Linked DNA regions of Notamacropus eugenii. The protein of the gene in region 3 interacts with the protein of the main gene of each other region in a pairwise test. Links are inferred from orthologs where the notes say so. Each region holds a gene or a part of one and is shown on either strand. Other genes may lie near its edges. The genes, in order: ZNF496, GNMT and ARR3.

Region 1 (7,269 bases), on a different chromosome or scaffold from region 3:
CTGTCTATAATCAGCTGTTCAATCAACAGTCATTTAGTAAACCTACTATGTTCCAGGCACAGTGCTAAGCTCCGGGGATACAGAGACAAAAGTTAAACAGTTTCTGCCCTCAAGGAGTTGAGTTCCGTTTGGGGGAGCGAATATGTACATGTAAGAATATAAAACTATATATACTAGATGAACATAAAGTAATTTGGGGAGGCAGAGCATTAGCATTTTTGGGGATCAAGAAACACTGTATAAAAGGTGTTGATTGAATTTGATTTGGAAGCAAATTAGAGATCCTGAGAGGTAGGAGGGAAAGCATTCCAGAAATGCTGAACAATTATTAGGCAAAAGAGAATACTGCATAAAACTAGAAATGTAGGAAAGGCCCAGGTTATATACAGCTTTATATGTGTTTGTTGTTGCCGAAGAAGACCATGCCATCAGAGAAATAATAACATGACTTGTGCTTGACTTTGTTTTGAGTGAGGGAGAGTCACCAGCCTAACTTCTCCTCCAGAGCTATCTGAATCCAGTACCAGATATTCATCAGGATGACTGGGGATGACCCAGGATGAGTCACTTTGGGTTAAGTGACTTGCCCAAGGTCACACAGCTAGTGAGTGTCAAGTGTCTGAGGTGAGATTTGAAGTCAGGTTCTCCTGACTCCTGCAATGGTACTCTATCCACTGTACCACCTAGCTGCCCCATACAGCTTTATATGTTTATATTTGATCCTAGAGGTATCAGAGTCACTGTTTGGGAGTTTACTGAGTGGATGAGTAACAAGGTTAGACCTTCACTTGAGGAAAATCACTTTGGCAGGAAGATGGATTGGGATTGGGAGAAACTTGAGGCAGAGAGACCAAATAAGAGTTTGTCGCAATATGATAGGTATTAAGGCCCTGAATTAAGGTAGTAGCTGTTACTGGAGAAAAAGAGACCTATGAGAAAGACGTTAACATAGAAATAACAAGATTTTGCAACTGATTGCATATGTGAAATGAGGAAACTGAGAAAATCAAGGCAACCTTGTTTTAGAAATAATAATTACTGAATTCTTAGACATTTTTTCTCATGTTATCTTAAGCATGAGAGAACAAAAATAAGAAAGGGGGGTGAAATGGGAAAGAAAAGGAAGGCAAATGGGGAAAGGGTAGGAAGGGAAAAGATGAAAAGGAGAAACAGGTCTGAATTAGGCTACTATCAACAACTAACTGGTCCCTTGGTGGAAGAGAGTGAAGATTTAATTATATCATGTTAGATCTTAAAAGGAATTTTATAATGCATTACAAAAGCAGTCTTGCATAGTGGAAAGATTTGGATTAAGTCCTAACATTTTTTGATCTTTCACTGAGGAACAAAATTCTCAATCTAGCACTTTTTCCATGTTACCCTGATTCAGTTCTATCTATTTCATGTTCTGTTTCCTAAACTGCTTCATTCACCAAGTAGTAGGCTGAGCATGCAGGAGAAGATTGAAGAGACCCATTCTTCCCGTTTCTCTTAGTAAAGCAACACCTCAGAAACTCTCACCTCAGACACTTGACACTCACTAGCTGTGTGACCTTGGGCAAGTCACTTAATCCTAATTGCCTCATCCTGGGTCATCTCCAGTCATCCTGATGAATATCTGGTCACTGGATTCAGATTGCTGGTGAGGCTGGAGGAGAGGAGAAGTGAGGCTGGTGACCTACACAGTCCTCTCTCACTCAAAACAAAGTCAAGTACAAGTCATGTCATTATTTCTCCGATGGCATGGTCTTCCTCTGCAAGGAAGGACGAACACAGTAAAGCAACAAGTATCATCCATGGCCAAAAGTCTCCTTTCTGTCCTCAGCAATTCAGCAAACATCCAAGACAGAGTCATGATCAGGAATCATTTGAAGTAGTGAGAAGAGTCTCAGCTATGACCCTTTTGAGAAAGAAGTCATTGCGAAGGTTGTGGAGCCAGGTCAGACTGTGCCAAGGAAACAAAGCTCATAGAAAATTTTGAGCCAGGTAATCGACTTACGTGATCTGTGTATCCACAGACAGCAGCAAATGATTAGTGTTTATTTTCTGGATATTTTGTATTTATTTATATGTATACCTGTTATTTTCCCCGATACAACATAAGTTACTTGAAGGCAGGGGGATCTTTTTTTGGGGGGGAGGGGTTTATTTGTAGAGAAGTAGTGTCTGGCATAAAGAAGGTACTTAATAAATCCCGGTTAACTGATCGACCGTTAAAGATGGTTGCTAGGTAAGGGTGAGCCAGTGTTTAAAAGAGTATCAGCATGCCAACTCATCCTTCTACGAGGGAAAAAGGAGTGAGCCTTGGAGAGCATATAAAGGCGCCTGATGTTTACAAGAGAAGGCTAAGTTTCAGTAAATACCACAAAAACTTAGTTCTGTTAAAGAGACCGGGGTAAAAATTTTGAGTCAGAAGGGCCACTGGAGATGAGCAAATCCACCCCCACCACACACGCCGTTCTATACGTGATGAAACAGAGGCCCACCGAAAAGGAATCTGTTTAAGGCCACAGGCCTAAGGGGGGAGTCGGGCTTTCGGCCGTCCGACTGTCCATCCTGCCACTGCACCACAGTAAAGGAAGGGGCCCCCAGAAGGCAGGGGAAACGCGAGGCGGAGCGGGAGAAGGCTAGTGACGGGTTTTCCGTTGGTGGGGAGAAGCCTCCGGGTACCCGAGGGTACCCAGGGCCGGCGGCCACCGAGCGGGGTCGAGGGCCGGCTTGGAGAGGACCCGACAGTGGCAGCCACCGGCCGGGGCGGGAAACGAGCCGAGGCTTCCCCCGGGATGACAGTATGTGAGGCGGGGCCCCGGCTACTTCCGGCCCGGAACCCGGCCTCCCCCGAAACGGCGGGGCCTGCCCGGCCTCCATTTACCTCGGAGTGGCGGCGGCTGGGGTCCGGCCGTGGGCCTGCCCCGCTCTCCCCCTCCTCGTCCGGCCCGCTCTCCTGGCGGCACCGCCCTCCCCTCCCCCCGCCGCAAACACAGTCGGTTGGCCTCTCGCTCTTTCTTACCCTTCACCTCAGGACTGATCGGAATCTTTGCACTCAGTCTCCGGGCTTCTTCACTTCATCTCCATTCGCTTGGCGAGGACTTGGGGAGAGCCCAGAGGAGAACTGCTGATTGGCTCCAGGCGGTGACGTCACACGGGAAAAAGTTCGGACCCAAGAAACCTCTGCCGGCAGGTGGCGCAGCTCAGCCGCGGGTCTTGGGCCGGCTCCGTTTCCTCCGCGAGGAGAAGGAAGTTACCCAAAGGAATGTATCCCATAGGCTGAAGGCTTCCCTTTTTAAACCCGTTCGGAAGTGTCTTCTTACGGCTTTGGGATGCTTCGACTTGAAGAACAGCGTAGGCTGATCTAGAAGGGCTTCTTAAAAGAGAGAGGGCTGCCCTCGGGCCTTCTGCGAACGGACCGCCGGGCCTTCAGAAGCCAAAGAGGTGTCTTTGGAATGTCCGGTGTTTGCAGAGGAGACCATGTAGATCTCAGCCACTCCGGGCTTGGGCAGCACGCCCCCTGAGCACGCATGTTGATTTCACTGCTTCCAGAAATGTTGCAGCTTCTCTGCTGTGTCGTCTTCATTTCCAGCGACGCTAAAGTACAGTCATCTATTAGATGTCTCAATGCAATTAAGGCTGGACTTTGTAGGAAGACCAGACGCAGTCCTTTAAAGTCCTTAGATTCGTTCCTGAAATGAATACAATGTTGCACACAGACAAGGGATTCATTAACCACAAAGGTTGAGCAGGAGTGAAGTGTGGTGGTTAGCGTTGGATTACAGGGAATCCCTCCAACTCTATCTGTGTGATCATGGTCAGGTTAATCTGGAAAACTGGAAAGAGTACTGGCGGTAGTCGGTTCAAATAGGTTCAAATCCTGCCTTTGGTGTTTACTCCCTGTGTGACCTCGGAGGTCATATAACGTTCTCAAGCCTCAGTTTCCTCATCTGTAAAATGAGGGCTTTGAACCAGGAGATTCTGAGGTCCTTTCCAGCTCTGAATCTAATAATTCAATGATCTTTTGTAGATAATAATACTTGCAGCATCTACTTAACTGTTCGTGTGAAGTAAGGTGCTTTTTTAAATCTTAAAGACTATTCAAAAACATTTCTTTTTAAAAATTAATTTGTTTTCTGTTTTCTATTAAAACACCGAATAGAATAGAAATAGAATTTCTATCTAAAAAAAAACCATTTCTTGAGCTATTACTTGTGGAATGATACTGTGCTTGAAGCCGTAAGGGAAACAAAATAAATTGGAGTATCTATTCAAGGATAAGACTAATATTAGTTAACATATAGATCTGCTTTAAGGTTTGCAAAGGATCTGTGAGTTCATTGGAATGGGTTATACTCCTCCTTAGACTTATACTAGAATTTATTAGGCAATTGTAATAGAACTGTAATAGTAGAAAAATTCATTATGCTGTGTAACCAGCTTGATCATGAGTCTCAGTAAAAAATTTTTTGACGATACTGCTGTTTTTAATCATTCAAATAGCTCATTATCTGTTTCAAATTCTTTATTATGCACAGTCGCACAACTTGAAGCTGGTTAAATACAGTTCTCATAATTCTTAAATACAGTTTTTAGATTATAATATGTGACTTTACCATGAAAGTATTTGGCATTTAATAAAATTCTTAACAGGCACCTTACATGAGGGTAAAAAAATCAATCTGTTTCCATTCCCAGACACCCACAGTACATAGAATCGTCTGCCAATAAGAAAAATTGAGTACTGACTTTTGTCAAAGTGGCATAGTAGGAAAACAGTTCTTAGAGAAATGTAGTCAAGATGATTTAGCTTATTCATAATATAAGGTTAATTGACAAGGCTTGTACTGAAGTTTACAAAAAAATTATCTTAGGTGGTTCATGAACCTTAAGAGCAAGTGACTTTGCTGTGTATCAGATGAGAAATATATATATATATACGTATATACATATATATACGTATATATATATATACACACACATGTATACACATATATAGTTATAGTTATAATAGTACATATGTATAATTAAGTACATATATATAATACATCTAAGAACTGAACTCATACTTGTGAACATATGTTCACAAGTACAACCTTCTCTTAAGAATCTGAACAAATGAGGACTTAAATTCAGTGATAAACAAAATTAAGACAGACACTATGTATTTCCTAGAAAAGTTAGCTTGTGAAATCTGAGTTGTGACTGTTTAGAGCTACAGTTTAACACAAGTATCTTTAAGAAGATATGAATCGGAGATGACACAGAGTCCATTTATCCTAACAGTTAATAGGTTTGTGAATTTAAGAATTGGTGTTTTCTGCACACATATCTAAAATTTCCCTAATACTTAAAAAGTAAAATACCTTAAAGTACAGGGGGAAAAATCTTATATGAAAATTCACAATTTTAAATTATTAACACTGTAGAAAATCTACAGAAGGGCTGTAGACTAAGAATGGCAAAAAGAGACAATGGAACTAAAATTGTGATCAACCCACTACGTTATGTATTTCCTTAATTTGCAAGGTTGTAATGAAGCTATAAATTTAAAACATTATGGAATGGGAGACTTAGAACAAAAGAATCATATATAAACCTCTCAGACGCATACAAGACTTCTAAAATATACTCAGTGAAAGGTGTAGGCATAGAATACCTAGTTGTAAATTTTTACATAACACCATAACCACTTGAACTTTCTAATATCATCCAAACACAGGTCTTGTTTTGAAAAGAATATCAGTGATCTGGAAATGGATGGGGGCAGGAAGTTTTATGATCTATAATCCTATAGGAGGAATATGAAATTACAAAACATCAACCTACACAGATGAAATATTTAACTGTTTAGGCTTATGCATATCTGAATGCATATTATCATCAAATCAAAGTATGAAGTAAAAAAAAAAAAAGACAACACCCTGGCAATTTGAGGAAGTTCCAATGTTTCAGGGAAAAAATATTTTGAAGAACATTTAGTAGTATAACAAAATAAATACAGCAGGATCAGATTAAGGGTAACAGTTATAAATGAAATTTTGGCCTATTTTTCCCCTGTAGGTTGCAACCATCTTGACTTTTTTGAACTTTTACAGTTTTCCCTCATGCTTAATTCAGATTTGAGGCTGCTTAACATACACCTGTGATTCTAGAGATTCTGCTGGTGAAAGTTTTTTTTTTTTCTCTTGTCTCTTCAGTTTCTCAGAAGCTCTTCTCTATAAAATGATCTCCTACTGCTTGAAGTACCATTTGCCTTCCTCATTCATGAGGACTAGGTTGCAAAAGTATCTTACTTGGAAATTTTTCTTCACATCTTATTGTTAGAGTTGGGTCATACCCTCCTGGAAAGAGTCAGTTCACCTTTAGCTTGTATCCTATCCATTATTTCATATTTAGTTATGGTCCTAAATGCTGGGCTTAATTCTAATGATCTCTTATATTGGCTATAACTCCATATGCTCAATTTTTGTTCTTTCTAATAAGAATTATTTTCCAATAATGACATCTTTTGAATGATATTTTAAAGATTTATTATATTCAGATTCTACATATAGACAATTTCAATGCTGATGTCCATCTTTATAGAGATGTTAGCATCAGGATGGGTTCAAGGTGACAAGCAATAAAATCATACTTATTTTATTAGCACTTTAAGAAAATAATTTTCTTGAAACAGATTCACCATCGTAGAAGAGGTAGTGTTTTTCTACTTTGCTAACTTCTCTGTGAGAAAACTTACTGTCCATCGTTAACCTGAACAGAAACCCAAGCCCAATCATTAATAAATTTAGCTAAATTGACCCTTCAGTCCTGGATTTTCATCACTGTAGGTAGGTCTTTCCAACTTGGTAGAACAGGCAAAACTTGAGTTCTACTGATAAATCTTCTTAGAACTGGGATAAACAGTTACTAACAAGTTTAAAATCTATAGGGAAGATTAATGGTTAGAAGAGTGACATGAAAGGTCATTTAAACAGTCTACATTTCCCACATGTACTCTAGCAAAAATGTAAAAAGGCACAAGATGAAATGACGGTCAAAAAGTTCAAAGAGAAATGATAATAAATGCCTTCATCCAGACCAAAATCGAAGAAAAAGTCAGAAATTGTGGTCACTGGGAGAGAGATTCCACTAGGGAAGCCAGCATCAGCCCAGAAAACAGGCTGAAAGTCTACACCTGAAGAAGCACCTGAGGCTTGCAACCTTGTGAGGGGAAAGCCTAAATTCTGTGGAAGTTCACAATGTGGTCAGATGGGAGCCCTCTGGCAGCAGGAGCCA
Region 2 (6,944 bases), on a different chromosome or scaffold from region 3:
ACCTGAACAACAGGCTTTCCGCTGTAGTCCTGAAGAGGCAAGCAGCCACATGGGCTTCTTTTTGGGCAGGGGGGGAGAGGAGGGGATATACGTGGATCCCACCAAAGGAGTAAGGCATAGGTGCATTGGTACTCTCACTGTTAAATTTTCAGTATAAACACACCACAGAAATTGGCAAATGACAGGAATATGGATTTGGTTTACAGTTTTGTTGATTGTCTAGACTTAGGAAAGTGATGGAGAAAATGCTGTGATTAAACCAAAAAGGGTGTTGAGTGTAAGCTCCCAGAACTTACTAAACGTTAGTGCACTCCTGGACTAAAGTAGCGATTTAGGGACGTAAAAGTAGAGGGCCCCCACAGGGAGGGTAGGGGTAGGGCAGAGCCAGTAAGGAGGGATCTAAAGGACAGAGATTATGGCTGCTGAGCTCCCTTGGCCCATCCAAGTAGCATGCAAGGAAAGGGTCCAGTAGAACTGGAAGAGCAGTTACAGAGTCACCTCTTTGGTTCCCATCCTCAGACCCTACCTCCTGTTTCCCTTTGCTATTTAAGTCTATTCCTTTGGGAGAAGTCAGAGGGAGCTGCTTTGCCATGGACAGAGGGAAACAATCACCATCCCCTTCGTTGTTTCCTCTACCCCAGGACCTTCCCTACTGGTTCTTATAAGGTTGTCACATCTGTAGGAAGCAGATAGCTGTCCTTTGCCCCATGAGTGGCGTCCTGACCTGTTGGGCTTTAGTCCTTACCTGGTCTAACGACAAGAATGATACCTCTTTCCCTGTTCCCATTCCCAAAGAGGTATCTTCCAGTTAGAAATAGCACTTCCAAGTTTCCAAAGCACTTACTACATCATTGTTTTCTCATTCAGTCCCTCTAACAACCTTACACAACATGCAAGGCAGTGATTAATAGCGACATTTGGCAAATGAGAAAACTGAGGCTGAAGAAGATTGAGAGATTTGTCTCAATGTCAGAGCTGAGTAAATGGCAGATGGAGGATTAAAAAGCGAATGGCCCAATCCCATGCCACCAAAGCAAGGAAGACAGGCAAAACTTTTAGAGACCCAAACCTCAGGGAAAATGAAGAGGGTTGGAGAAAAATTGAGGGCTAAGGACAAGGGACAGATCCCTGTGTCACCTCAAGAAGGCTTGGCTTTGAAGTCAACCATGGAAGGAGACACTAAGCCCTTAGGTCCCTGTCCTTAAGAGACAAGAGCCCCTGAAGGGAAGCTACAAAATTAAGGCATGAATCAGGAGCAGAGAAGGTAGAACAAGAAGAACCCAAAAATACTTCCTTGCAGACTCAGAGTTAAGAGCTAGAAGGAAAGTTAGATCTGATCACAGACTTTGGGGCTAGAGGTGGCAGCGATCTTGGAGGTCATCAGTGAGGTCTCAGCCTCTCATTTTACAGGGAGGAAAGGAGGCACAGAAAGGGGGAGCCTGCGGCCTCGAGGACACACGTGGCCTTCTAGGTCCTCGGGTGTGGCCTTTTGACAGAGTCCAGGTTTTACAGAACAAATCCTTTAATGAAGGGGATTTGGATTCAGTCAAAGGGCCGCACCTGAGGGGCTAGAGGACCCTATGTGGCCTCAAGGTCGCAGGCTCCCCAGCCCTCGGTGATATTCAGGGTCACAGCCTGGGGCAGTATTCCAGCTCCAGTCTTTACTAAGTCCACCACACTCACCTAGCTGCTCCATCTTTCTGCCCATTCCCACACTATCATTTTACAAGGAAGAAACTAAGGACCAGACAGAAGTGACTTGTTCTAAATCACACAGCAAGTCATGGCAGAACCAGGACTAGAATTCAGGTCCTCTGACACTTAGCTCAGAGTGCTTCGGAGGACAGTATGTGGAGGATGCTGGTTCTCTGTATGGCCCCTCTGTTCCTGTGCCAAGATCCCACATACCCCACTTGTCAAAGGCCTCCTCGTGACGACGGTTCCACCGTTCTTTCAGGGCATACTTGAGCATCTTGTCACTGGCGTCCACACTGGTCACTTTGAAGCCCTCTTCCACTAGCATGATGGAGTCCACCCTGTGCCAGGCCCAGCAGGCAATGACAGGATTGGACGGGGGGAGAGGAAGAGGGAAGGAAAGATGAGCCAGAGAAGATGGGGAGAATGATTGGAGGGAGAGGATTAGAAGGGTAGAGGGAGAGGAATGATGGAGACAAAGCAGGTTTTAGAAAGAACAGGGATAGAAAGGACAGTTTTAGAATGGGAACTGAGGGTCAAGGGAGAAACTGGGGACTAAGAAGACTAGAAGGAGGAACCCAACATTTGTGAGTTACCCCTGACATTGATCCCCCCCCACAACATACTTTTTACCCACTGAATCAAAAAACTTCAGAATTGGAAGGGAACCCAGAAGTCATCCAGTTTAACTCAGCCAAAGCATGACTCCCCTCTATAGCAACTCCAACAAGTGATCATCTCAGACAACATTTCAAGAACTCGTGACTTCCTTTCTCACAACCACCAGAGACAGTCCATTTTACTTTTGAAAAAAAGATCCTTTAACACCTTCCTAGTCTGTTTTCCACCATGCCCTTACTTCCAGCTCACCCCATTTCCCTTATATGTGCACCCCCACAACTCATGCCTATCTCACATACATGTCCATTTTTGCCATTCCCATCCCCTCTGTTTTCCCTGTTGCCATTCCCAAAGAGGTATCTTCCAGTTAGAGATCTACCCAATTTCTGATGACTTTCTACCAGGGCAGGATTTTTTCCACCTAGCTCCCTTCTGCCTCAGGAGCATTCTGGTCTCGCCTGTCCTCCAAACCTTTTTGACCCTGGTGTCCACCCCTACCTCCTGTGCTGTCCTTGCCCCAGCTTTACCCAGTGCCACAAGCCACATCAAGGACATGCTGGCAGCTGTGTTGACGCAGCAGCCCCAGGAGCCAGGCCTTGTATTCTGCTGTACGGCTTCGGGTGTCACCTATGTATAGCTGCCAGACCCGGGCTGCCTCCCCATCAGCAAACTGGTCCGGAAGTCCCTCAGCTGCCACTCCCAGGGAGCGAGTCCGGTACACACTGTCTGCCATCCTCTCAGTTCCACCTGGCCCCTCAGCCACCTGCCAAAGTTCTTATAAGGCTGCCCTGGCTCTTTCTGCCCTGCCTGCCTCACCTGTCCAATGGCAGGTGAGATCCAGGACACGCCCCCATCTGGTCTTCTCCCAGAGCCAGGAACCAGCTGTTCCTGATCTCCCAGACCCTGTGAATGGCCTTACTTCTTTCTATCCCTCCTCCCTAACTGCTAGCAAGAGAGGGGCATGTCATGTGGGAGATCTCCCCTCCAACTCGATCCCAGGTATCCAAGGGAAAGAGAAACAGAACACACCCAGGGATTCTGGGAACCAAGGATGGCAGGAAAGGCAAACTAGTTAACTCTCCAAGACCTCAGCTAGAAGGGATCAAGCTGTGTGTGTCAGGGGGTAACCATGTCTTTGTCCACATAGGCATCAGGCATGAAGTAGGAACAACAGATGAAGAATTGGGGGGTGGGTAGATGGATTAATGAATCAGAGTTAGGTCAGGTCATAATATCTTATCTCCAATTCATCTTACAACTCTTCCTCTCCATGTACCCCCATACTTGGAGGTAGTTATTATTCAAAGCAATTAGCCCAATTTCTTATATGTCTAACACAGCAAGCCAGCTCCTAGCTTCTCCAGGGCTTCTTCTGGTGAACTGGTCCAAGGCAGTAGGGTCTATAGAGGTGAGTGGGCTCTAGATGGGGGGAGGGGTTGGCATGGAACCAGCATATCAGCTTTAGAACATTGGACTTGAAGTGAGCAGAACTGGCTTCAGCATCATTTTTTTTTTTTTTTAAATCTGGTGGAAGATACAGAACTAGGTGGGAGTAGGCAGGGGAAATGGAGCTTAAATGTTTAGAGGGCAAGGGTGGCAGGGCTTGCAACACACAGAACTATTGTGTTACCAGGTTCTCCAAAGATCCCAGGATGTGGAGGGGAGGCAGGGCAGAGGTCAGAGAACATGTTACGAACATGGGAGAGGAGGAAGGGCTCCTGGCTGCTTAAACACCAAAGGAACAGTGATAGTCTAGTTGTTGAGGGGAAAGGTCAGGGTCATACTGGAGTCAAATTCTCTGCTACTACACAGGATTGGGCAGCCTGGCTGCCACCCCAGAAAGAGGCCAAACCTCTGCCTAAGAAATCAATGAAATAAATTCTGCATATAGAGGGATGGGCTCTCTCTCTCTCTCTAGCTTTTGCATAGAACAGTCTTTTCTAGTGAAAACTTTGAAAGTTATCAGATGTTGGCAAGAGAAACAGATTGAGGGGTCAAGGATGTGACCTGCTTACATTATGCCCAGCCTCAGTCCCTTCCCTACTTCACCTTCAGTTTTGTTCCGAGTGTCAGGCCCGGGTATCGAGGTCCAGAAGAGGGAAACTCCATACCCATGGGGAAACTGGGCCAGTTCTGGTGACTTTAGAAAAAGGTTCACTTGGGTCCCACCTCATCTAGGATATTAGGGGAGTGGCAGCAGGGCCCTGGTAGAAGTAATCTCTAAGGGCCAGGTTCTGCTTTTCTACAATCTGTGGCAGGAGAAATGTCCAGGCCAGAGAAGACAAGAAGCTTGCAATTCTCCAGGCCAAGGCTGCCTTAACTCCTCAGAGTGGGGGGAAGACTGGCTAGATGCTGGGACTTCTGAGTTCACAAAGGCACTCCATCATAGCCAGAGGCCTCTCAGTAATGCCCATTTGTTGGCCAGTGGGCCTGGACTTGGGCTGGATGGTGACAGGACAAAGTAGGGTCATTTTCAGTTCTAAATTTGAGGAGGCAACGATGGCAAGTCCTTCAGTATTCCTCATCCTAGATGATGGCTGCTACCTTTTTAAAGAGGAGGTGTGGGAGAACAAATCAAACCAGTTCCACAACTGTGCCCTGCACCATTAGTGCCAGGTGTTGGAGGCCCTGGGTCTGGCTGCTCCTGGTCTTGACTTCAGGACTAGCAGGGGAGGGACAAAAAGGGCCCCTTCACCTCCCCTAACTTCAGAGGGCATCATGTAAGGCGCAGGTGTTGGCTGGGGTGGGGGAGGAGAGTCCTATATGGTGCGTTCTAAAGGAACAGAAAAAAACTGGGGGGAGTGGAGGGGCAGGGAACAAAGTGCAATAGCAGGGTGCAGCCCTGAAGAGGGGAGCAGTAAACACGTTACATAAAACCTGGCATCACAGAGGAGGGACTAGGGTGAACAAATTCATAAAGGATGTCCGGTGGAGGTGACCAGGCAGAAGGGAGAAAAAGGAACAAAGGAGCCTGCTGCCAGGGGGTTGGGAAGACTACCAGATTCTAGAGCAGAAAAGGAAAAGGCTCCAGGAAGTCGAGTGGGAACAAAGGCAGCTGTCTTTTCGACTATTACTCTAGAATGGGGTGTTTAAAAATGTCCTTGTTGTAGTCACTTTTCAAGGCCCAGCTACATCAGGGTAGGGGCTGATGTGAAGCTGAAGGTGGAGGAGGAAAGCTTCCATCCAACTAGGTTAAAATGAGGCCACAGAGCCCTCTCCCCTGTGCCTACTCCTAGCATTCTCTACCTTCCCCTCCCCACCCTCCATGTACAATCTCCCCACCACTCTCAGGATTCCCTCTTCGCTCTTGCTCTTCCAGATCAGCTTGTGAGAACTACCCAGAATAAGTGGGAAATAAGGGCCAAAAAGGGTTCACTCCCCTTTGCACCATTCTTATGCCAAGAACCATGAATTATGGGTAGAAGAATGAGAGGAAAGCCAATTGAGAGGCACATAAAGGGAGGTTAGGACACTGAGTAAAAAGGCCAAATATTTTTTACTCTGCACATTGTGCAGTAAAATGAGTTGGAGAGGGGCAGAGACTGGGTGTCACATGGCTGGGGGGGGGTGGTGCGGCTAGAGCCCTGGGGAAGACAGCCTAGACCAGGACTGGAGTGAGGAAGGCCTTCCTGGTGGGGCTGGGGCCAGGAGAGAGGTGTTTCTGGAAGAAGGAGGGGGTGCACCCATGGGACAATGAGGGATGGAGTCCTCCCTGAGGGCTCAGCAATGCTCAGACCCATCCCTCGAAGGTTTATAATGCAGTTTTTAGCTCTGGGGCCATCACACAGCTCTTCTTCCAAGCCCAGGGGCAAAGCGGCTGCCTGGAAAGGAAAAGGAAGGGCAAGTTCTGTAGTCCTCAGCGAGACAAGGGCACAGCAGGGGGTGCAGTGAACCCCCAGAACTGGGGAGTCCACCCTTGTCTGCTGGAGGCACAAGAGAAAGCAGAGTGTCCCTCAGCCAGGGGCTTCCCTCTGCACCCCTGGGACAGCAGCTGGGGCGCTCGGTTAGATTCTACAGTTCATCGGTGGGGCTGTGTGTGAGAGGGGAGGGTTTCTGGACACCCTCGTCCTCCTCAGGATGAGGGTCCTCATCTAAGTTTCTGGGATCCTTCCTTTGCTTGCCGCTCTTCTTGCTGGACGCCTTGCCTTTGCCCCCCTTTTTCTTGGCCTTCTTCCCTCCGAGGGCTGCTGTGTCCCCTTTCTTGCCGATCCATTGTTCAGTCAGGCAACCTGGTGAGGGAGAGGGGAAGGGACAGGGTGCTCAGACGACCAACAAGGACCAGGAGAGTTCATCTGCCAAGTACCTGATGGGCATCAGCTGCTGGCTGAGGCCTAGTGTACTAAGGCTTAGGAAAGGCAGCATGCCAGGGATACAAGGGATGGCTTTGTATTCATTCAGGAAGCATGCATCTCAAATGAGAAGTGGATTCGAATCCCAGCTCCAGTGTTTGTTGGCTATGTGACACTGGGCAATTTACTTAATCTAAGCCTCAGTTTCTTTATGTATAAAATGGGGAAAACAATACTTCCATGATTTAAAGCATTCTGATCAACTGTGATTTGAGAACGTGATTCAAAAGCCTGATCCTCATCATGCTACCAACCTCGTGCCCGGGACCAATGTGTTCC
Region 3 (6,948 bases):
AGCATCCTCGGGCCCAGGCTGCAGGGTCACTGAACAAGGCAGATTGGTGGGCAGCTGTCAAAGGGAGGGGGATATCAGAAGGAGGTCAGCAGACAGGAAGGTCAGGGCCTTTCTCCTACTTCCCCTACTCTCTGTGCTCCCCCCCCCCCCAATGCCCAGTTCTGTCCTCCAGGGCTTGGGGCTCACCTGGAAGGTAAAGGGATGGGCACTGTCACCCAGCTTTTGCAGCAGGCATTCTTGAAGGCTTGTGAGGGGCAATGGGGCTTGGGTGGGCTCTTTGGGGAAAACTTGCAGGGCCTGCACATAGAGGTCTTTTCGGAATGTCAGACCGATCACGTCCAGATCATCCCGGCCATAACGGAAGGCACAAGTCAGCACCACAAAGACTGCGGGGAAATGAGGAGGTACTGACATGGGGGCTGGGATGGGCTGGCCCTGAACAGGGCCCTGAATAAGCCCCACAGATGCAATCCAAAGGTAGCATGGCAGAGGGTTGGATTGGAGGCAGGGCTCAATGGGCTCATATCCTGCTTCTTATACTCACTAGCTAATCTCTTTGGGCTTCAGGTAACTCTCTGTGACTCTGTTTTAGGTAAGTACTGGTAGAGGGAGCTTCCAAACCAACAAAATCCCAGGTCCTTGGTGGTGTGACAGTATACTGCTGAGGCCTCATCCTTCTGCTGGCCTGTAAGCTCCCTGAAGACAGGGACTTCAGGATTTTTGTCTTTGTAGCTCCAGCACCTAGGACAGTGCCTGGTGCTTTATTTTAGTCAGTGTGCAATACGTGCTTATCAAATGACTGAGTGAATGTAAGAATAGAGCCCAAGTGAAGGAGGGGCAGAAAGGAGGACAGACAAGAGGGAGCCTCAATAGACTGGGGGGTGGGGAGATGAACAGCAAGGGTAACTAAGTGGTGCGATAGAGCACAGGGCCCAGAGTCAGGATGACCTGAATTCAAATCTGGCTCCAGACACTTAATAGCCATGTGACCCGGGGCAGGTCACTTCCCCCTGTTTGCCTCAGCTTCCTCATCTTTAAAATGAACTAGAGAAGGAAGCGGCAAACCCTTCCAGTATCTTTGCCAAGAAAACCCCAAGTGGGGTCACCAAGAGTCAAACGCAACAAAGATGACGTTAGGGTGCACAGGAGCCCTGGTCAGAAGGTGTCACCGTCCTTGGAAATGCTTATTGTTTGGTAGTGAAACTTTCCTTTCTGCCTTCAAAACAACTTGTCCACTTCTTTTTTTCAAGCTTGAAAGTTTATTTTCCAAAGAAATGTTCATTCTGGGAGGATCATTCTGAAGGCTTTGAGCTTTTCAACTTGGGAAACTCATTTAGCTTACAAGCGTGTTTGATGTGTCAAAGCTCTCCGATTGTCAGAGGCCTTTGAAGCCAATCCCCTCATTTTACAGAGGATGGAATGGAGGTAACACAGAGAGGCCTAGCAAGGGCAGAGCAGAGGCTCAGAAGTCCAGGCTCCTGACCCCCAGAACACTAGGCTCTCTCTGACCTCTCAGAGACACTTGAGCTGCCTCAGCTTACTGTGGCTAAAAGCTTCATTTAAAACCAGCTTTTAACTCATGAGTGATTTTCCAAATCGAGTCCATTTAGGAGGGTTAATATAGGAACCCAAAAACACCCCCCCCCCCAGGGGAAAGCCCCTAATTGCAATTCTTAGTACTGATCTGTCCGTGTCATTTCTTTAGCTGCCTCATCCATGAGGTTAAGTGCCTGGGCTTGGGGGCTTGTGGGCCTTTCTTATCTTGATTCCTGAATTGCTCTGGGACCCCCAGCTCCTCCTCTTCTCTTAGTGACTGGATCTCTTCTACTTGGGATGGGTTACTGACATTGGTTGGCGGGGTGAGACTCTGTAATGGCATCGGGACATTTTCTCTTTCTACCTAATTACTTTAGGACCTGGAGAAGAACAGCGTAGTTTCCCCATCCCAGACTCGAAAGATACAGACTCAAGAAAGATAGAAAGACACATACACAGAGCATAGGTGGGCTCTCTCTGTCTGGCTTTCTATCTTTGTCTCTGTGTTTGTCTCTCTGTCTGTCTCTGTTTCTGTCTCTCTCCATCTCTCTGTCTCTGTTTCTCTCTGTCTCTGTCTGTCTCTGGCTCTCTGCCTCTTTCTCTCTCTCTGTATCTGTGTCTCTCTCTTTCTCTCTTACATGTACACACACACACACACACACACACACACACACACATATGCCCCATTACCTTTTCGATCTTTCAAGTACTCAGGGTCAATCAGGACAACACCATCTGTGGAAGTGGATGAGAAGGCTTGAGGAGAGGTGCCCCTGGAAGGGATCTCCTGCACCCCCCCCCCCCATTTGCTTCCTTCTTTATTTCATGCCTTTATTTCAGGATCCCTCCCCTCCACCCTATTGATGTCAAGATCTCTGGCCATCTGGAGGTCACTGACCAATGGGTTCCACTGAGTCTATATGGTCCACAAAGTCTCGTTTCCCTAGGTAGATGGAAAGCTGTTGGAAAAAAAGCCCCTCCTGTAATTCTCCAAATCACACACCATGATCCCTCTGCTCAAACCTCCCTGAGATTGCTCAATGATGCACGTTGACCTCCCTCCCGCTGGCCTGGAGCCTCTCACCCTCCTATTGAGGCAGGTCTTCTTAAACACCCTGAAGAGTAGGAGACAAAATAGTTATGGGGAGGCAGGGTTTGTATGAAAGAAATGGTTGTTGCTGGAATTAGGGAGGAAATGGTGGTGAGAACATAGCTGGGAATGAGAGGGCAAGGCATGGGGTGAGGGTGGGAAGGCTGGGAGCTATCCCCCTATGCTCACAGCAAGCACTGTTGGGGAGATAGTGAAGACTGGGGGGTATGGAGCATGGGGTGCTCAGGGAATCACAGGGAGTAGAAAGGGTGTCTTACTTGGAGCTGGTGGCCATGGACTCAGTTTGGGAGCACTCCTTGGGTTGGGAGCTGAAAGTCTTGACGTGGGACTTGGTATCTGTGACCTCCTGGGTAACCTTGGGCAAATCACTCCTCTCTGGGCCTCAGTTTCCTGAGCTATAAAATGAAGGGGCTAGATGGGAGGATCTCCGAGGTCCCTTCCAATACCAACACCCACGACCCTCAGAGAGAGGAGGCTTCGGCAAGTTGGTTCCCTGGCACCTCTCCCCTTTGCCAGCTCCTGAGCCCCCAGGAGGACTTTCAGTTGGGGGGAGGATGGTAGATAGTTTACCACCTGGTGCCACAAGAGATTGGTTTCCTTGCTCTGTAACCCCTCTCCCTCCCAGCTGTCACAGGCCCTTCCTCACCCCTCACACACACACACGCACACACACGCACACGTTCTCCCTCATACTTCCCTGTCCTATTTTATATATGCATATAAATGCATATGTATATGTACATATGTACAAAGAACATATATATGTGTGTACATTTACATATACACAATGGAATATTCAATTCAGGAAAAATATACGTGCATTTTTTTCTTGAATAGGCTTGCTGCATATTTTTGGAGACTGGCTGTACTAATGCGTTGGAATTCCCTAATTGTCAGCTCTGAAGGGATAGGAAAGACTCCATCCAGAAGACTTAGACTGGGCGGGGTGCTTCCCAGGTTTAGCCACAGCATATATGCTAAAAGGGAGACCCTGGTGTCTATGGGAGAAGGGAAGTGAGAAGGAGAGGAAGCAGGCAGAATTGGTTAGGAGCAGAGAGAGAAGAGAGGGGAGAGGGGAGTCAAAGCTGGCACAGTCCTGAGCTTTGGGGGCTGGGGGCTGCTCTGCTAAGCTAAGGAAGTGATCTGACAGCCAGACTGTCCACATCTCTGTGTTCAGGGACTGGGGACAGGGAGAGAGAAGCAGGGCTGTGGCTCTGGTCAGAAGGAGAAGACACTTTCAAGGCAATAGAGGCAGAAGTACGGGGAACTAGGGCATACTGTTCTCAGCTTATTGAGGTCTCCAGATCCAAGCGCTCTGAGTGAGACCTGTCTCCTGGGCTTGCCTCTGTGCATCCTTCTGTCCCTGGAGGGCTAGACCATGTGCCCTCAAGCCTCCTCACAAAGGCTGCAAGCATCTTTTGGCTACTGAGGAAGTTTAATGAGCAGGAAAGATCATGGTCTCACAGACTTAAAGCAGAAAGGGCCCTGAGAGGTTAGTGATTCCAACCTGTTTGTTTAGAAGAAGAAGGAAGCAGAGGCCTAGAAAGGGGGAGTGATATTTCCAAGGTCACAAAGACACAAGATAAAGCAAAGTCTAGATTTATACTCAACTCCTCTGCTACAAAGTCTGTTGTCCATCCCCCTTTCTGATGTTCCCTCTCTAAGGGACCTCACTTATTGGAGGCAGAAGGTATCAGGTTCTTAAGTGGGAGTAAAAGAAGTGGGAACAAGGGCCAGGAACCTCCCTTTGACTCAGATCTCTTCTCCCTCCCCACCACTGTCCTCCCCAATCCGATCTCCTCATATTCTCATCCCAGTGCCTGCCTTCTAGCCCACAGTCCCATCGCCTCATGACTAGAAACATCACCAACACCATGAGTGATGCCTGTTGGGCCCCAGGGCTCTTTCTATGCCATCCTCTGGGAATGGAGGTCAGGCTGTGGAGGGTTATGCCAGGCTGGGGTTGAGGGGCCTAGGCCTAGACAGCTCCCAGACTCTCAGACCTGGGTGGCAGCTGGCTCAGCTGGAGGAGGGGCAATTTCCCCTCCCAAACATCCCCTGCTGATGTAGGATTGGCAGACATGGATGGACAGAGGGAGCATGAGATGGAACCGGAGGGGCAGGAAATGTTACCTGGAGAGAAATATGAAAGGCAGCCCAGCCTCCTGCTCTGCTTGCAGTGCTCTTGACCATAGCCCTTTTATAGCCCAGGTCCTTGGGGCAGAGGGGGCTCAGCCTGATTAACTTTGGGGTGGGAGGGGAAGAGAAATAGCATAGCCCCTAATAGCTCAAGAAATAAGAGTTTGGAAAGCAGATTATGAGCTAAGAGATTAGCTCCTAGTAGCAGGAGGTTGGACAGGGAGACTGTGGCAGACCTCCCCAGCGTCCTGTCCTGGAAATGCTCTTTCCCACTTCTTCTGGAATATTCCACCATGTCAGACTGGGTGGGAGAGGGAGTGTGGTCCCTGAGACTGGCAACCAGGCTCACTGGGACCTCGAGGACACGCTGGCTGTGATCTAGGTGATGTGAGTGATGCTACGTGTGGCAATGTAGAAAGATAGTTGGCCTGGGAGTCACAAGGCCCAAGCAAGGTCCTTTCTAGGTCTCAGGCAAGCCTCTTCATTTCTCACAACCTCTACTTTCTCATATCTAAAAGCAAGTTACTAGTCCCAGCAGTGTTGTAAAGCCCAAGTGAGGTGCATGTCTGGATAGATGGCCATTTACATGCATGTGTACGGATCACTGTGTAAGCTTTCAGTCAGTCAGCTGATTGATTGATTGACTGAGGCCCTAAATTGAAAAGAGAAGAGGGTCCAAGATGGAACCTTAGAGGACACTCATGCTTGGGAGCAGAAGACAGATCCAGCAAGGGAAACTGAGGAATCAGACAAGTTGGAGGAGGAAGACCAAGAGAGAGCAATGTCCCAGAAGCTCAAGGAGGGCTAAGAAGGAAATAATAATGACAAGGTCATTTTAAGAGAGTAGGAGAGCTGGAGGCCAAACTGCAAGGAATCTGGGAAGGACTAGACAATGAATGAAGGAGTCTGGGGGTTTTCCCCGAGGACTTTGGAAGTGCAAGGATGGTGAAATATGGGAGCACAGTTGGAGGGATGGCAGAGGCAAGGGGAGAACTTTTTTAAAGGATAGATTGGGATGTTTGCAAATGTATATCCTTCTAAGGTCTGCATATGTACATGTTTGCATGTAATAATATGCGTGTGTGTGTGTGTGTGTGTGTGTGAGAGAGAGAGAGAGAGAGAGAGAGAGAGAGACAGACAGACAGACAGATAGACAGAGACAGAGAGACAGGGAGAGATATAAGGAGTAAGGATGAGGAGGGGAGCCTGAACTTTCACTCTCGGGGGCAGGTAATACCTGGGATTCACAGGTCAGGGGCTAGGAGACCAGAAGGTACCAGTTGGAGCATGGTGCCTTCAGCATCAGCCCTTGGCTTGCAGCCTCCTTCTCCATCTGCCAGTCTCTAGGGGCCAAGCTAAGCCAATGTAAGTGATCCTAAGCAGCTCTAGTGCTTTGCCTGATAGAGACAGAGATTGACGCTGGGGTTTATTCTTGGCCCTCCAGTCTGCTTAGCTGCCCTCACCAGCCCTGCCCACAGGCAGAAGATGATCTCTGATCTACCTCGGAGCCAACCTTAACCTGCTTTTCCTGATGGTTGGTGTGGGCAGGCAGGGCTCACCCAGCTGGGAGCAGGGCTCTTATTTTTGTCCTTTTCATTTTTTAGAATTTCTTTTTTTGTTACATTTTGAGTTCTGAGCTGTCTCCATCCCTTTGTCCCTAACCTGAGTTAAAGAAGGCCAACATTTGACACAGGTCTACATACACACAGACATATACAGACATACACAGACATACACATATACATATATGTACAGACAGACACAGATACATACACAATACAGACACACAAACACATATACACATATACATACACACATGTACACACACACACAGAACCATACAATACATCCTTCTATCCGTCAGTTCTTTCTCTGGAGGTGCATGGCATTTTCCTTCGCCAGTCCTTCATAACTGTTTGGATGATCCCATTACTCAGGACGGCTCAGCCGTTCCCGGTTACTCTTTGAACAGTCTCTCTGTTACTGTATATGATGTTCTCTTGATTCTGCTCATTTCCCTCTGCGTTATTTCATGCAGGTCTTTCTGGGTCTTTCTACCACCAATGTGCTCAGTGGCAAGGCTCTTGCACCCTGCCTCGCCAGGGTCTTCTCTTTCCCAGGTCCCAGATACCCTGCTCTCCTCTCCTAGTCCTGCCTTAACC

The links.
Region 1: the proteins of ARR3 (region 3) and ZNF496 interact in binary tests that used the Homo sapiens proteins (3 or more experiments, as listed by UniProt). The two-hybrid records come from large-scale screens. The link is inferred for Notamacropus eugenii from reciprocal best matches to the Homo sapiens genes ARR3 and ZNF496.
Region 2: the proteins of ARR3 (region 3) and GNMT interact in a two-hybrid assay, tested with the Homo sapiens proteins (2 studies listed by BioGRID and IntAct). The two-hybrid records come from large-scale screens. The link is inferred for Notamacropus eugenii from reciprocal best matches to the Homo sapiens genes ARR3 and GNMT.

The regions. Positions count from the first base shown.
Region 1 is NC_092873.1:74,849,508-74,856,776, reverse strand, and holds the start of ZNF496 (zinc finger protein 496), read right to left. Parts: upstream 3,100-7,269; 5' UTR 3,011-3,099; intron 2,960-3,010; exon of another isoform or gene 2,873-2,959; intron 628-2,872; exon of another isoform or gene 1-627. UniProt on the Homo sapiens protein: DNA-binding transcription factor that can both act as an activator and a repressor.
Region 2 is NC_092873.1:105,860,066-105,867,009, reverse strand, and holds the start of GNMT (glycine N-methyltransferase), read right to left. Parts: upstream 3,094-6,944; 5' UTR 3,050-3,093; coding exon 2,844-3,049; intron 2,037-2,843; coding exon 1,909-2,036; intron 1-1,908. Other genes in the region: CNPY3 (protein canopy homolog 3), read right to left, coding at 6,328-6,545. UniProt on the Homo sapiens protein: Catalyzes the methylation of glycine by using S-adenosylmethionine (AdoMet) to form N-methylglycine (sarcosine) with the concomitant production of S-adenosylhomocysteine (AdoHcy), a reaction regulated by the binding of 5-methyltetrahydrofolate.
Region 3 is NC_092879.1:100,599,120-100,606,067, forward strand, and holds the start of ARR3 (arrestin-C), read right to left. Parts: upstream 3,020-6,948; 5' UTR 2,922-3,019; coding exon 2,905-2,921; intron 2,652-2,904; coding exon 2,621-2,651; intron 2,496-2,620; coding exon 2,435-2,495; intron 2,272-2,434; coding exon 2,227-2,271; intron 387-2,226; coding exon 187-386; intron 55-186; coding exon 1-54. UniProt on the Homo sapiens protein: May play a role in an as yet undefined retina-specific signal transduction. Could bind to photoactivated-phosphorylated red/green opsins.